Linked DNA regions of Callithrix jacchus. The protein of the gene in region 2 interacts with the protein of the main gene of each other region in a pairwise test. Links are inferred from orthologs where the notes say so. Each region holds a gene or a part of one and is shown on either strand. Other genes may lie near its edges.

Region 1 (4,343 bases), on a different chromosome or scaffold from region 2:
TCAAATGTGAATGACTGTAGTTCTTTCAAGTAAAAAATGCTGTTCCATGAAAAAAGGCAACTATTTCACCTTACAATCCAATTGCACAAAAGTTTTTCCTCAAGATAACCCTTTAATTTAGGTTTGCATAAGTGTTTGATGAAAACTTCCCATGTCACTGAACAGCATATTAAAAAGACATACACTCAAGGGTTGAGATTTGAAGAAAATTAATGATTTTACTGCTTTATCAACATTTTTAAGTGAAACTGGCTTTTTAAAAAAACTATAGGTGTAGTATTCAGTGCCACTGTCTTGATTCAAGCTAAGGTACTAGCAGTATTAAGTAGTGCTTTTCCACCATCAGAGCAAGTGTGAACGAACTGAAAAAAAAAAAAAAAAAATCCTTAGTATTCAAAGAAAGTAGTATTGGCCTTGCAGGTCCCAAAAGGACCTCAAGATCCCCAGGGGTCCATTCACCACACTCTGAAAGTCACTGCTACAGAACAACTGCATTCTCTCTGCATCTCAATTCCAAGCATCAAATTCACTAACCGCTACCTCCTCTCTAACTTACTCCAAGTCCTCCCTTGCATACACCCTAGTTCCCTTCTCTCTTCCCCTACACTCACAGATCACAATCCCAATCCAGGTTAAATCCTATTAGATTTGTATCAGAAGCAGCCGAATATGGTTAGAGAAAAAACATCACCATCCTTGCTGGTTCATTCTCTCATTCTTCTAGAGTCTAAGATCTAAGATTTAAATGATCATTTCACATCTTTTCTGGCTTTAAAACTCTAACACCTCTCTCTCCCTCCTTAACACTCTGCTGATGAGTGTTCACTATAAAAACAGTAACTATACTTCCTGCTAACAGGCCTGAAAAAAATAATAATCAAAAGAGAACATCCTCCTATCATCTCTATTAACTTGCAAATATACCTCATCCTCTGCCTTCCCTTAGGAAGAACTGACGTCTATGCTTCTAAGGCCAACTCCCTCACTTGTGCACTGGATTTCATCCCCTTTGGCTACTCAAGGACAATGCCCCTACAGTTTTCCTTCTCTCTCTTGCATTATAAAATGCTCTCACTCTATTGGATCATTTCCTAGAATATACAAACATGCTGCAATACTTCCTCTCTCTCAAAGAGTAAAAAATATCATGGCCCAGCAACCATACCTTATTTTTTGCTTCCCTTTATAGCAAAACCCCAAGAACTATCTGTAAGTGCTATTTTCAATTCCACTCCTCCCATTCTCTTAAATCCACCCGAATCCTGACCTCTCCACTGGAACTCCTCTTGTCAAGATCAAGTGATCTCCTCCTTGCCAAATCCAAAGGGCAATTCTCAGTTATCTTACTCAAACAACTGCATTTGACCTACTTGACCACTTCCTCCTTGAAATGCTTCACTTGGCCTCTGGTATTTAAGAGGGAGAGAGATGGAAGGCAAAAACTGTTTGACACCCAGGGCTAAGTATCTTTCTTAGTGCTATGATACACAGATCTAATTGTGTAGTTTATGGGGGGGGGTAAGATGTTAAAATCAGTTTTTGACCTCAAGTCTGAAAGAGTAATAACACATCTCAGTAGAAATGCAATCATAACGATAGCATTCAATTTCCTTACAAAACACTTGGTGAATGACCAACTTTAAGGAGCTTTTTGTATGCAGTGGACCGATGTTCATCAAACCATGACTTACACAAAGAGCTTAGGATCCACTTACAGGCCTGAGACTAGAACTTGCTTCTAATAATGAGACAGTGACCAGCAAGGCTGACTTGTGAGTGAAGGGACAAAAAATGATAATCAGACTGATGATGATGGTAATAGTCATGGTAGTACACATTTACTACTCATTTACTTCAGGGAATGCACCGTTAAACACTATACATGCCCTCTAGTATACATACTCCTCATACACTTTAATGAAACAGGGACTATCATCCCCACTTTACGTATGGGGTAAAGAGGAGCTAGCTAAAATCACAGTTATTAAAGAGAAGAGCAAAGATTTGGATATAGGGCGGTTGAGATTCCAAAACTCAAGTATTCTAAGCAAAATTTTTGTACTGCTTCTTGCAAGGAAAATCATGAAACTTCAATTGAATACATGACAATTTAAAAAATATATAGCTTAAGAAGTTTTCTCAAAGTAACGATACATACTCACTAGGCACTTTCCTATACATAATTTCCTACTTAATGGCAATTACATGATTGTCTTCTTTTTTTCGGACGTATGTTTTCTCCTACGTAAGTCTAAACATACGCATCGCCTCTAAAATGAAGCTGGCAGGCTATATAACTTTACTACAGGAGCTGAAATCGTATTCTAGTTCTCCACTTGCTTATTTCCATTATCTTGACTTCCATTATTTCACCACATACCTGAAGGGAAAAGCCCAGGACATGCCGGGGCTGCCTCAGTGTACTTCAACAGCAAAAGGCGAATAAACCACTGTGCAAAGAGACCACTGTGCAAGCCTAATCAATTCTCAAGAAACAGGGTTTTGCTTTCAAGGTACGAAGCAGGTAGGAAAGGTGGGGCTTACAGCCTTGCCAAAAACGTTCTCCTCAAGAAGAACCCAATTCCAAGTGGAAAAGGTACCCTGAAAAGCAGCTTAACCTCAAACTTAAATCCAAGCCTAACTGCCTGCCCAGTCCGCCCCAGCCCAGCCCAGCGGAAGCTCGTCGGGGAAGAGCCCATTGAAGGCGTCACCTTCAGGAGACATCCTCTGTCATAGTGCTCGCAGCCCCGCTGCACTCGCTCTTGACCGCTCGCGCCATCTTCCCGCGCCGTCGCCGCCATCTCCTCCACCTCCCCTCACATTCCACCGAGCCTTCCCACAGGATGAAAACCACGCCCAGTGAAGCTGCGCCGCTCTAGCACACCCCCTCCCAGCCGCAGCCGTCACCAGCGCTAATATGGCTCCTAAGCACGTGACCCGGGGCAAACGGATTTCCGGTTTCCGGGACTACGAGACGGAAGCGAGGGCAGACGCAGTCTCCGTCGTTGACGTTAGTCGCAGTCTTCTCTACTGACGGTAATAACTCTTAGGTTGCTTCTTCTTTTCCCCCCATCGCTACCCGCCGAAATCTCAGGGCGTGGTTCGCCGCGAGGTGGGCTGCAGCGGCGCGGAGACGCTGGTTGGCCCCTGAGGAATGGACGCTCTCGGGGCGCACCGTTACCTGTGACAGGGCGGCCCCTCCCTCTCTCACGGGTGTCGGGAAGCCTGGAGAAAGGGGCGGAGCTCGGCCCAGGTCTTGGGCTCTGCGGGTCCCGCGCGGCGCTCTTGGACGCCAGGGCAGTCGCTAGCACCTCGAAGTGCCCCTTGCTTCCTCCATTTCCCGTTTACTTGCTGTTCATTCCAAGTATGTACTAACATTCACTATTGCCAGTCACCAGCTAAACTGTGAGGACAAAAAGTGAGAAAAAATAGACACACTCTACCATGCCCTCATGGAACTAACAAGACTGCTGGAGGAGGAAGACGTTAATAAGAGCAGTCACTGCAATAAATGTGGTTACAATTTGGAAAAGTGCTAGGAAGAAATGTGTGTCCTGTGAGAGCTAATATTAGAGGAGCTCTGACTTAATCTGGGTGTCAACAGTCGGAAGGTTTCCTTGGGGAAGCGATGCAAGCTGAGGGCTGAAAGATGAGTAGGAGTTAGTGTGCAAAAGGCTTTGTGGCACAGAGAACATGGTACCCATTCGAAGGTAGAAGAGAAGTGTACAGGCCGACAAATGGAAATCAGGTGCCTCAGGGTTCATAGCTAAATATGTTTCACCTTGTTAAATAGCGAAGACGCCGGAAAATGTTCTAAGCAAAGCTGCAGGTGTTAGAAGAAACTATTTGTCTTTGGTTTTCTAACCTGATTTCATGTTTCCTAAAACGCTGGGAAACGGAAAATGTTCCCTTCAGCTTTCAAGTTACTGACTCTTAACATTCTAATTTTCTTTCAGTTCTGTTATGAGTTGCTAAAATGGTGAAATGCTGCTCCGCCATTGGATGTGCTTCTCGCTGTTTGCCAAATTCGAAGTTAAAAGGACTGACATTTCACGTGTAAGATTTTGCTGTAGTTAAGCCAAATACTTTGGCCATGTTATAAAAAGGAAAAGACAGTTCTACTTAAGTCTTCAGTTTTGAACTTTAGTTCCCAAATCCTTTTTAAATACCCTTTTTGTTAAATTTGAAGTGACATCGTGATACCTCTACATGTTTATAATTTAGTTTAAACGTTTAAGATACCTGCCAAGTGTATCAGAGACTGGTTTACAAAAAAATACCGTAAGGCTCACTTTTGCTGATATTATTACTTTGTATTTTGTCCTACAGCCAAAGAAATTCAA
Region 2 (2,834 bases):
TTCCTCTACATAAAAAAAAAAAATTATACCATGAGTGCATGGTGTAATTGTTGAGAATTTGGAACACTGATGAAATTAAGTCAGTGAATACTGTACGTAGGTACAAGCTAATTCTAATAATTATTTTAAATCTCCTTCATTCATCATAGAATGATTTGGGTAAATCTTTTTTTTTTTTTTTTAAATGGAGTCTTGCTCTGTCACACAGGCTGGAGTGCAGTGGTGCAATCTTGGCTCACTACAACCTCTGCCTCCTGGTTTCAAGCAATTCTCCTGCCTCAGCCTCTGGAGTAGCTGGGATTACAGGCACATACCACCAAACCCAGCTAATTTTTATATTTTTATTAGAGATGGGGTTTTGCCATATTGGCCAGGCCAAGGTCTTGAACTTCTGACCTTAGGTGATCTGCCCGCCTTGGCTTCCCAAAGTGCTGGGATTACAAGCATGAGCCACCATGCCAGGCTGATTTGGGGTAAGTCTTGTGCCAAGTCTTCACAACTTGTGGAGAGATATTAAGGTGGATAAATATATTATTTGTCCTCAGATGCCTTTGGGACTTGAGGACATTGACATGGGGGGAAAATTAAAATGGAGTGATAATTGCTATAATACCATATAAAGGATGATATGAGAAATGAAGAGAAAGCAACAAACTGTGCTTAAGGAAGGTGAGAAAGGTTTCAGAGAGAAGGCAGCATTTAGAAGCTTCCCACACAGAGAAAACATTCCTGGCCCCAGGCAGAGCAGACATGTTTGGCACACATGGTACAAGGGAATTCAAGTTGTCTATATCTTTATAACCTTCAATATTCAGAGATGAAGACCAGTCCTTACCAAAGTCAAGTGCAAAGTCTAAGAGCTGTCCTCAAACAGAACAATAAAGGGGAAGGAAGGGGAACAAATTTTCATAAAGCGACTGTTGTGTATCAGGTGCCATGCTAGACACTAGCATACAGGAACAACTGAAGGCATAACTAAGGCTACCGATAGTCTACTCTCCCCCAGTTTTTCTCTTAAGCAAGAGTCTGCTTACCTTGACTCAAAGACCAGCCATCTTCCATCAGTTCAAAGGTGAATGTTTAACTGCTTAGCTGTTTATTCCTCTTCTCTGTGCAGTCTTTGATTCCCAGAGAAGGCTGAACTGGGTGGACAGAGTGGTTCATGCCTGTAATCCCAGCACTTTGGGAGGCCAAGGCAGGTGGATCACAAGGTCAAGAGATTGAGACCATCTTGGCCAACATGGTGAAACCCTGTCTCTACTAAAAATATTAAATATTATTTTTAAAAAAAGAGAGAGAAGGCTGAACTGCCTAGGCATCCAGATTAAAAACTGTGGCAGTAGTAGTTCAGGTACATGCTCATTCAGACTGCCTATTTATTTGGGAGATATTCAAGTGCCGTTCTACCAGGTAGGTGCATCTTCCTCTGAATAAGAGCCACTAGAGTTTTTTCAAAGATCCACATTTGTATACCAAACACAGGGAAACCTATAGAACTAAAGCTGCTTATTGATTACTTTTTTTCCCTCCATCAGGTATGAAGATGATAAAAAAGAATGGGCTGGGATGTTGAAGGAAATACGCTATGCTTCAGGAGCTAGTTGCCTAGCAACACGTTTAAATCTCTTCAAACTGTCTAAACTATGAACAAGGTGACAAAACATAAGGGGGAGGTGGTTTGTGTGGTGAATGGGGCTTTAATTTATTGTTTTTTAAAAGCTTGTACAGACACTCATGTAGAAATTATTCAGGAAACTGTCTTAGAGAGGAGCAGTAGGTAACAAAACCTCAGTCACTGACTCTTCAATGTAATGTTCAGAACTTAAAACCATTTTCTAATAAGAAATTAAATATTCAGTTGAACAAATTATTTTGTGAATGTTTCACTCAATGGATTGTAAAGAAGGCTCCTAAATTTGAGTTATTTGTTAATCATTTCATTTGCATTGTTAGGGTATCTTTACACTGATTTTCTATTACAATTGGAAGTGGAGAATATGTGCATCTACATTAAAAAAATGTTTAAGATATCAAAAACCTCTCCTCATGCTTCAAAATGACAGGAATCCTGTGCATTTTGCTAAAAATTACATGCCGTAAGATGACTTCAGAAATGCTACTTCAGACGTGTAATAAATGGATGGGGAAAAAATCTCTTCTAAGTAAAAATAGTCAAATTCAAATGGCCATTTTTCTCTTTTTTTTTTTTTTTTTTTTTTTTTTGCGACACTGGCACGTTATTCGTGGTTTCCAAATCAAATTTTTATTAAAACCAGTAAATTAGTCTTCAAGCCAATAACTACAGCATCTGTGGCAAGAGGGTAAGAGAGCATCCTTAGGAAATGGATTGATTCTTTAATGCTGGGGCAGAAGATGGGGTCAGTGGGAGATGTGGAGGAGGATGTGTATTCACTGATTTAAATTTTGGCTACTCTCTGTGAAGGGGCTATTTGCTAAATTTCTGACTGCAAGGAAGGGTGATCACATTCATTTTCTGGGATGTGATGTCCTCCATTCACTGTTTCTTCTTAGTGCATATAGTAAGGTGACTCCTCAGTCTGCTCATAACTATCACATTCAACTCTGCAAGTCATAAATTAATCATCACTTTCAGCCACACACCAGCTTATGGGTCTCACATAGCTTTCATAGACATATATTTGACTTCTATCCTTACACGTTATTTTCTGAAAAACCTGACTTGGGACTGATTTGGAACATTCATTATTATTTGTCAAGGAGTTGCATAAAGAACAGATCTAAGTATCCATACACCGTTTTTTCTCAATCATAAATACAGAAATATATTTAACAGAAAAAAGTTTTATTTTAGA
Region 3 (4,168 bases), on a different chromosome or scaffold from region 2:
GCCCACGCCTCTGTTGTATTGTTTTATATACAAAAAGGGGAACTTCATGTGTCAATGCAGACTTCTGGTGTGCTCAAAATATTTGGAAAATATTCTGGAAAAATCTGAATATTTGGCAATGTGGGATGTTATTTCATGATGACAGCTGGCTGGGATGAAGGAGCAGTGCCTGCTTCAGCTGGGATGAATGCTCACCTGTATGGAAAAGTTCCTGCTATTACCTATGACTTCACACCTGGCCTCGATAGGCATTTTGGTGTGAGTATTAAATTTATTTTATTAATCCAATAAATCCTTATTGGGCAGCTTTTATTACCAAGCCTTGTCCTAGTCATGGGGGATATAGAGGTGGCAAAAAGGATCAAGGATTCTGTTTAGATAGAACTCATATTTTGATGGAAGACACACAATTTTTAAAAATTGAAACATTAACATTTAATATATCCAGTCTTGATTACAGCTATAAAGACCATCAAGCAGGCTAAGAGTAATGGAAGGTAATGAGATAGGAGTGGGGACAGGTGAGGTGCCATTTTGTATCAGGTATCTGTAAGGTGATAAGGTGACATTGCGGCAGAGAATGAAGTCAGTGAGGGTCTTCCCAAAGCCAGGAAGAGAGATTCTGTCTTCATGCCACCCTTCTTAAGGCCTGTAAGGCAAGGGAACAAGCACAAAGGCCTTCTTGGAACATTCCAGAATAAAATATAGAGGCCAAAACACCAAGAGTTCTCATTTATTTTTAGTTTTGCATTCTGGTAGAAGCTAAACACAAACTAACACCTTATTATGTTTTTAGTTTCACTATTGTAAACACTTTGGGCAGGTAAAGTGAAAATTCCAGGGTGATATTTATCCATTTAAAAGAGTGAATCAATCCTATTTTATTTCCTATATTTTTGGGAGCTTGCCTTTCTGCTTTAGTCATAGGACGCATAGGGCAAGCTTTTCTAATCTGATTGTTGGATGACAGTATGGCATCTTCCTTTAGGTTCTTTTCTTGGGTCATGATCACAGCTAGTGCTAAACCACTCCACGCTGCCTGATCACACACCAGGATTTGGTCATCCACATAAACATGATGCTGTTGTGAGTTCACTTTTCTATTTAGAGAAGCATGTCAGCTAGAAATATTTCCACCTTATTTCTCAGACGCATGCGTGCTGAGTGAGTGGCCAAAATAGCCCCTTGAGTAAGTGGCAGCTTTAAAAACCATCCAACTGCTGACTTCAAACTAGAAGGTCAGCAAAGGAAAGTGGAAGTTAGATTCTGAACGATCGAGGTGCCCACAGGAATTTAATAGTCGTCGGATTTCGGAGACTTGAACTAGGCCGGGGGTTCTCCTTGCATTTCGTGCCTGTTGCCTATCGTCGTCGTCTCTCTGCAAGCTTCAACATGAATGTGCAGGCTTGCTCTAGGTGTGGGTATGGGGTTTATCCTGCTGAAAAGATCAGCTGTTTAGATCAGGTCAGTAGACGTTTCTTGGCTTTTGTGAATAATAACAAACATGGGAAATTGACTTTCTCACATATGGACTTAGGTAATATGGAAATGTAATTTTCAGTTAAAATTTTTTAAACCACAAGAAGTTGTATTTTCCCTCCTTTAATTTGTACCACCCATTTCTATTTCTTCTGTGTTGTCTTGAAAAGAAGTCATCCATTTATTTAACTGTGAGTGTTGTTATAGCTGTGTGTGTGTGGTTTTTATTTTTTTAAAAATCACCATTTTATTCTTGAAGCTCATTTCTTTTTAACCCTAAATATATAAGAATTTTGAGTCTGGGGGAAAACAGATAATTGCTAAATCTTCTCTATACAATTTCTAGATATGGCATAAAGCCTGTTTTCACTGTGAAGTTTGCAAGATGATGCTGTCAGTTAATAACTTTGTGAGTCACCAGAAAAAGCCATACTGTCACGCGTAAGTATTTGATGCCACACCACTACCTCTTGAGTTTTATTTGTTTTTCAACAAGTAGCCAACTAAACGTCCAAATCATACACCCCGGGGTTAAATTCAAGAAATGTCTTCTCTTATATCCTGTCACTGAAGAAACCTAAGGTGGGATTTCATGCAATGGACACAAAATTTCAAATTTCTTCCAAGTAAAAGATCAAATATATCCACTATAACCTTATCTCAAATTATTAAATATTGTGCAGAACAATGTAATGGCCATGAATATGCATATAGAGCTTTGAAGTATTTTCTTTTAAATAATTTCAGAATCCTTTTTTACTTTCTTCAGAAAGTTTTCAAGTGATCATTTCCAGTTAAATTTAGGCTTTCAGTTATATGTGTTGATTTTATTTTATTTGCTTTTTTTTTTCTGTAAGATCAATACTTGGAAAATTGTGAACTTAATGTTTAAGTTTTCTATTTATTGATTTTTTAAAAATAACTTATTTAAAAATAATTTTAAGAATAGTCCCTCAATCATTTGAATAAAGTACATTTCTAATTTTGCTTTGTATCTATTTATTGTAGCCATAATCCCAAGAACAACACTTTCACCAGTGTCTATCACACTCCCTTAAATCTAGATGTGAGGACACCTCCAGAGGCCATCAGTGGGGTAAGTTATTTAATTTTCAATGGGAGAGAGGGTATGAAGAGTAGTCGGTTAATGGTAGAAACGTACAATTAAATAGAAAGAATATATTCTAGCCAGGCACGGTGGCTCACACCTAAAATCCCAACATTTGGGGAGGCCAAAGTGGGCAGCTGGTTTGAGCTTAGGGGTTAGAGACCAGCCTGGGCAACATAGTAAGACCCTGTCTTTATTTCTTAAATAAATAAATAAATAAATAAAAGAAGAACTATGTTCTAATGTCCTATAGCAGAGCAGGGTGACCACAATTACCAACAACTTATCGTATATTTCAAAACAGCTAGAATAGAAATGATAAATACTCGAGGTGATAAACACCCTAAATACCCTGTCTTGATCATTTCACATTCTAATATGTGGCAAAATATTACATGTATTCCATAAATATGTGCAAATATTATATATCAATTAAAAATGCTTAGACATATGTTAAGTGTTTGTCTCTGTCTGCATGGGAATCTGCCCATTTCTTCCACATACACATGCAAAGTGCATTTAAGTAACAAATGTGACTGTTCTGTCACAAAATTAGGGGCCAATATACGAATAATCTAGTTTGAATAATTTAGGTCTTTGATTTCAGTATGATTTTTGTGTCTTGACCAGCTCAAGACTGTCTCACAGTATGATGACAGTTTATAGAGTAGCCTTTGCATGCACCAAGTACTTAATACATAAAACCATGCTTACATAGCTGGAACATATTACAAGGATCTTTGCTTTGCCTTGTAATAGTCTGGTACATAAAATTAAAACTTTTAGTTTCACACTTGCAAATCTCTCTGAATTCAGCAAGTACTTATGATTATTGATAGCCTCTTTTCCCCTTGGGGTAGGGATAGGTCAAAGATGTTTTGCTTTGGAAAGGAAGTTTAGTTTAGAAAGGGTGGGATTGAGATGGGGAGGTAAACATGGAGGCCACATTGACAAATCCAACCTCTTGTAAATCTAATAGTAGAGTTTGGTCAAATAACCAGCTATTGATGGAACTCTTGCACCTATTAAAATGATGAATCACTGAGCTTCTATAACCCATGCCCTCAAGAAGTTGCTCTGTGGGATGAAGTTTTAGTGGCTTTCTAAAATTAGAAAATTACACATGAGGTGGAAGGCTCTCTAGTAATCCCTCTTTATCCAAGATTCCCTTCCTAATGTTGCTCCACGTCATACTGACTCTCTTCCTGCCCAGCTGTCCTCCTCCCCAAGAAATTGTGTATGAGATAGTGGCCTTGCTGTGTGGCTCTCTACACATGCTGGTAAAATACCTTATTTTTACCAAGTGCTTTGAACTGACTGTGAGTTTATGATTTCTTTTATTTAACAAGCTTATATAGCATTTACTATAGAAGCACTTAATTCATTTAACATACATTGCAACCCAACGAAGTTGATACTACTATTATTCCATTTTGTGGTGAGGAAACTGAGGCTCAAATTGTTGCTCAGACATCATTGCTTCCTGGGGATTCACAAGTCTTAGGAATTCACAAGCAATCCTAGATGACTGAGAAGGCTAATTCTTTTAGGACTTGTGTTCATCTCTTGGTGCCTGAGGGC

What was found.
Region 1: the proteins of KLHL41 (region 2) and RCHY1 interact in binary tests that used the Homo sapiens proteins (3 or more experiments, as listed by UniProt). The two-hybrid records come from large-scale screens. The link is inferred for Callithrix jacchus from reciprocal best matches to the Homo sapiens genes KLHL41 and RCHY1.
Region 3: the proteins of KLHL41 (region 2) and NRAP interact in binary tests that used the Homo sapiens proteins (3 or more experiments, as listed by UniProt). The link is inferred for Callithrix jacchus from reciprocal best matches to the Homo sapiens genes KLHL41 and NRAP.

What each region holds. Positions count from the first base shown.
Region 1 is NC_133504.1:122,639,911-122,644,253, reverse strand, and holds the start of RCHY1 (RING finger and CHY zinc finger domain-containing protein 1), read right to left. Parts: upstream 2,839-4,343; 5' UTR 2,802-2,838; coding exon 2,712-2,801; intron 1-2,711. Other genes in the region: THAP6 (THAP domain-containing protein 6), read left to right, coding at 3,977-4,056. UniProt on the Homo sapiens protein: E3 ubiquitin-protein ligase that mediates ubiquitination of target proteins, including p53/TP53, TP73, HDAC1 and CDKN1B. Mediates ubiquitination and degradation of p53/TP53; preferentially acts on tetrameric p53/TP53.
Region 2 is NC_133507.1:60,003,900-60,006,733, reverse strand, and holds the end of KLHL41 (kelch-like protein 41), read left to right. Parts: intron 1-1,535; coding exon 1,536-1,647; 3' UTR 1,648-2,183; downstream 2,184-2,834. UniProt on the Homo sapiens protein: Involved in skeletal muscle development and differentiation. Regulates proliferation and differentiation of myoblasts and plays a role in myofibril assembly by promoting lateral fusion of adjacent thin fibrils into mature, wide myofibrils.
Region 3 is NC_133513.1:106,614,581-106,618,748, reverse strand, and holds the start of NRAP (nebulin-related-anchoring protein), read left to right. Parts: upstream 1-1,233; 5' UTR 1,234-1,392; coding exon 1,393-1,464; intron 1,465-1,825; coding exon 1,826-1,920; intron 1,921-2,487; coding exon 2,488-2,575; intron 2,576-4,168. UniProt on the Homo sapiens protein: May be involved in anchoring the terminal actin filaments in the myofibril to the membrane and in transmitting tension from the myofibrils to the extracellular matrix.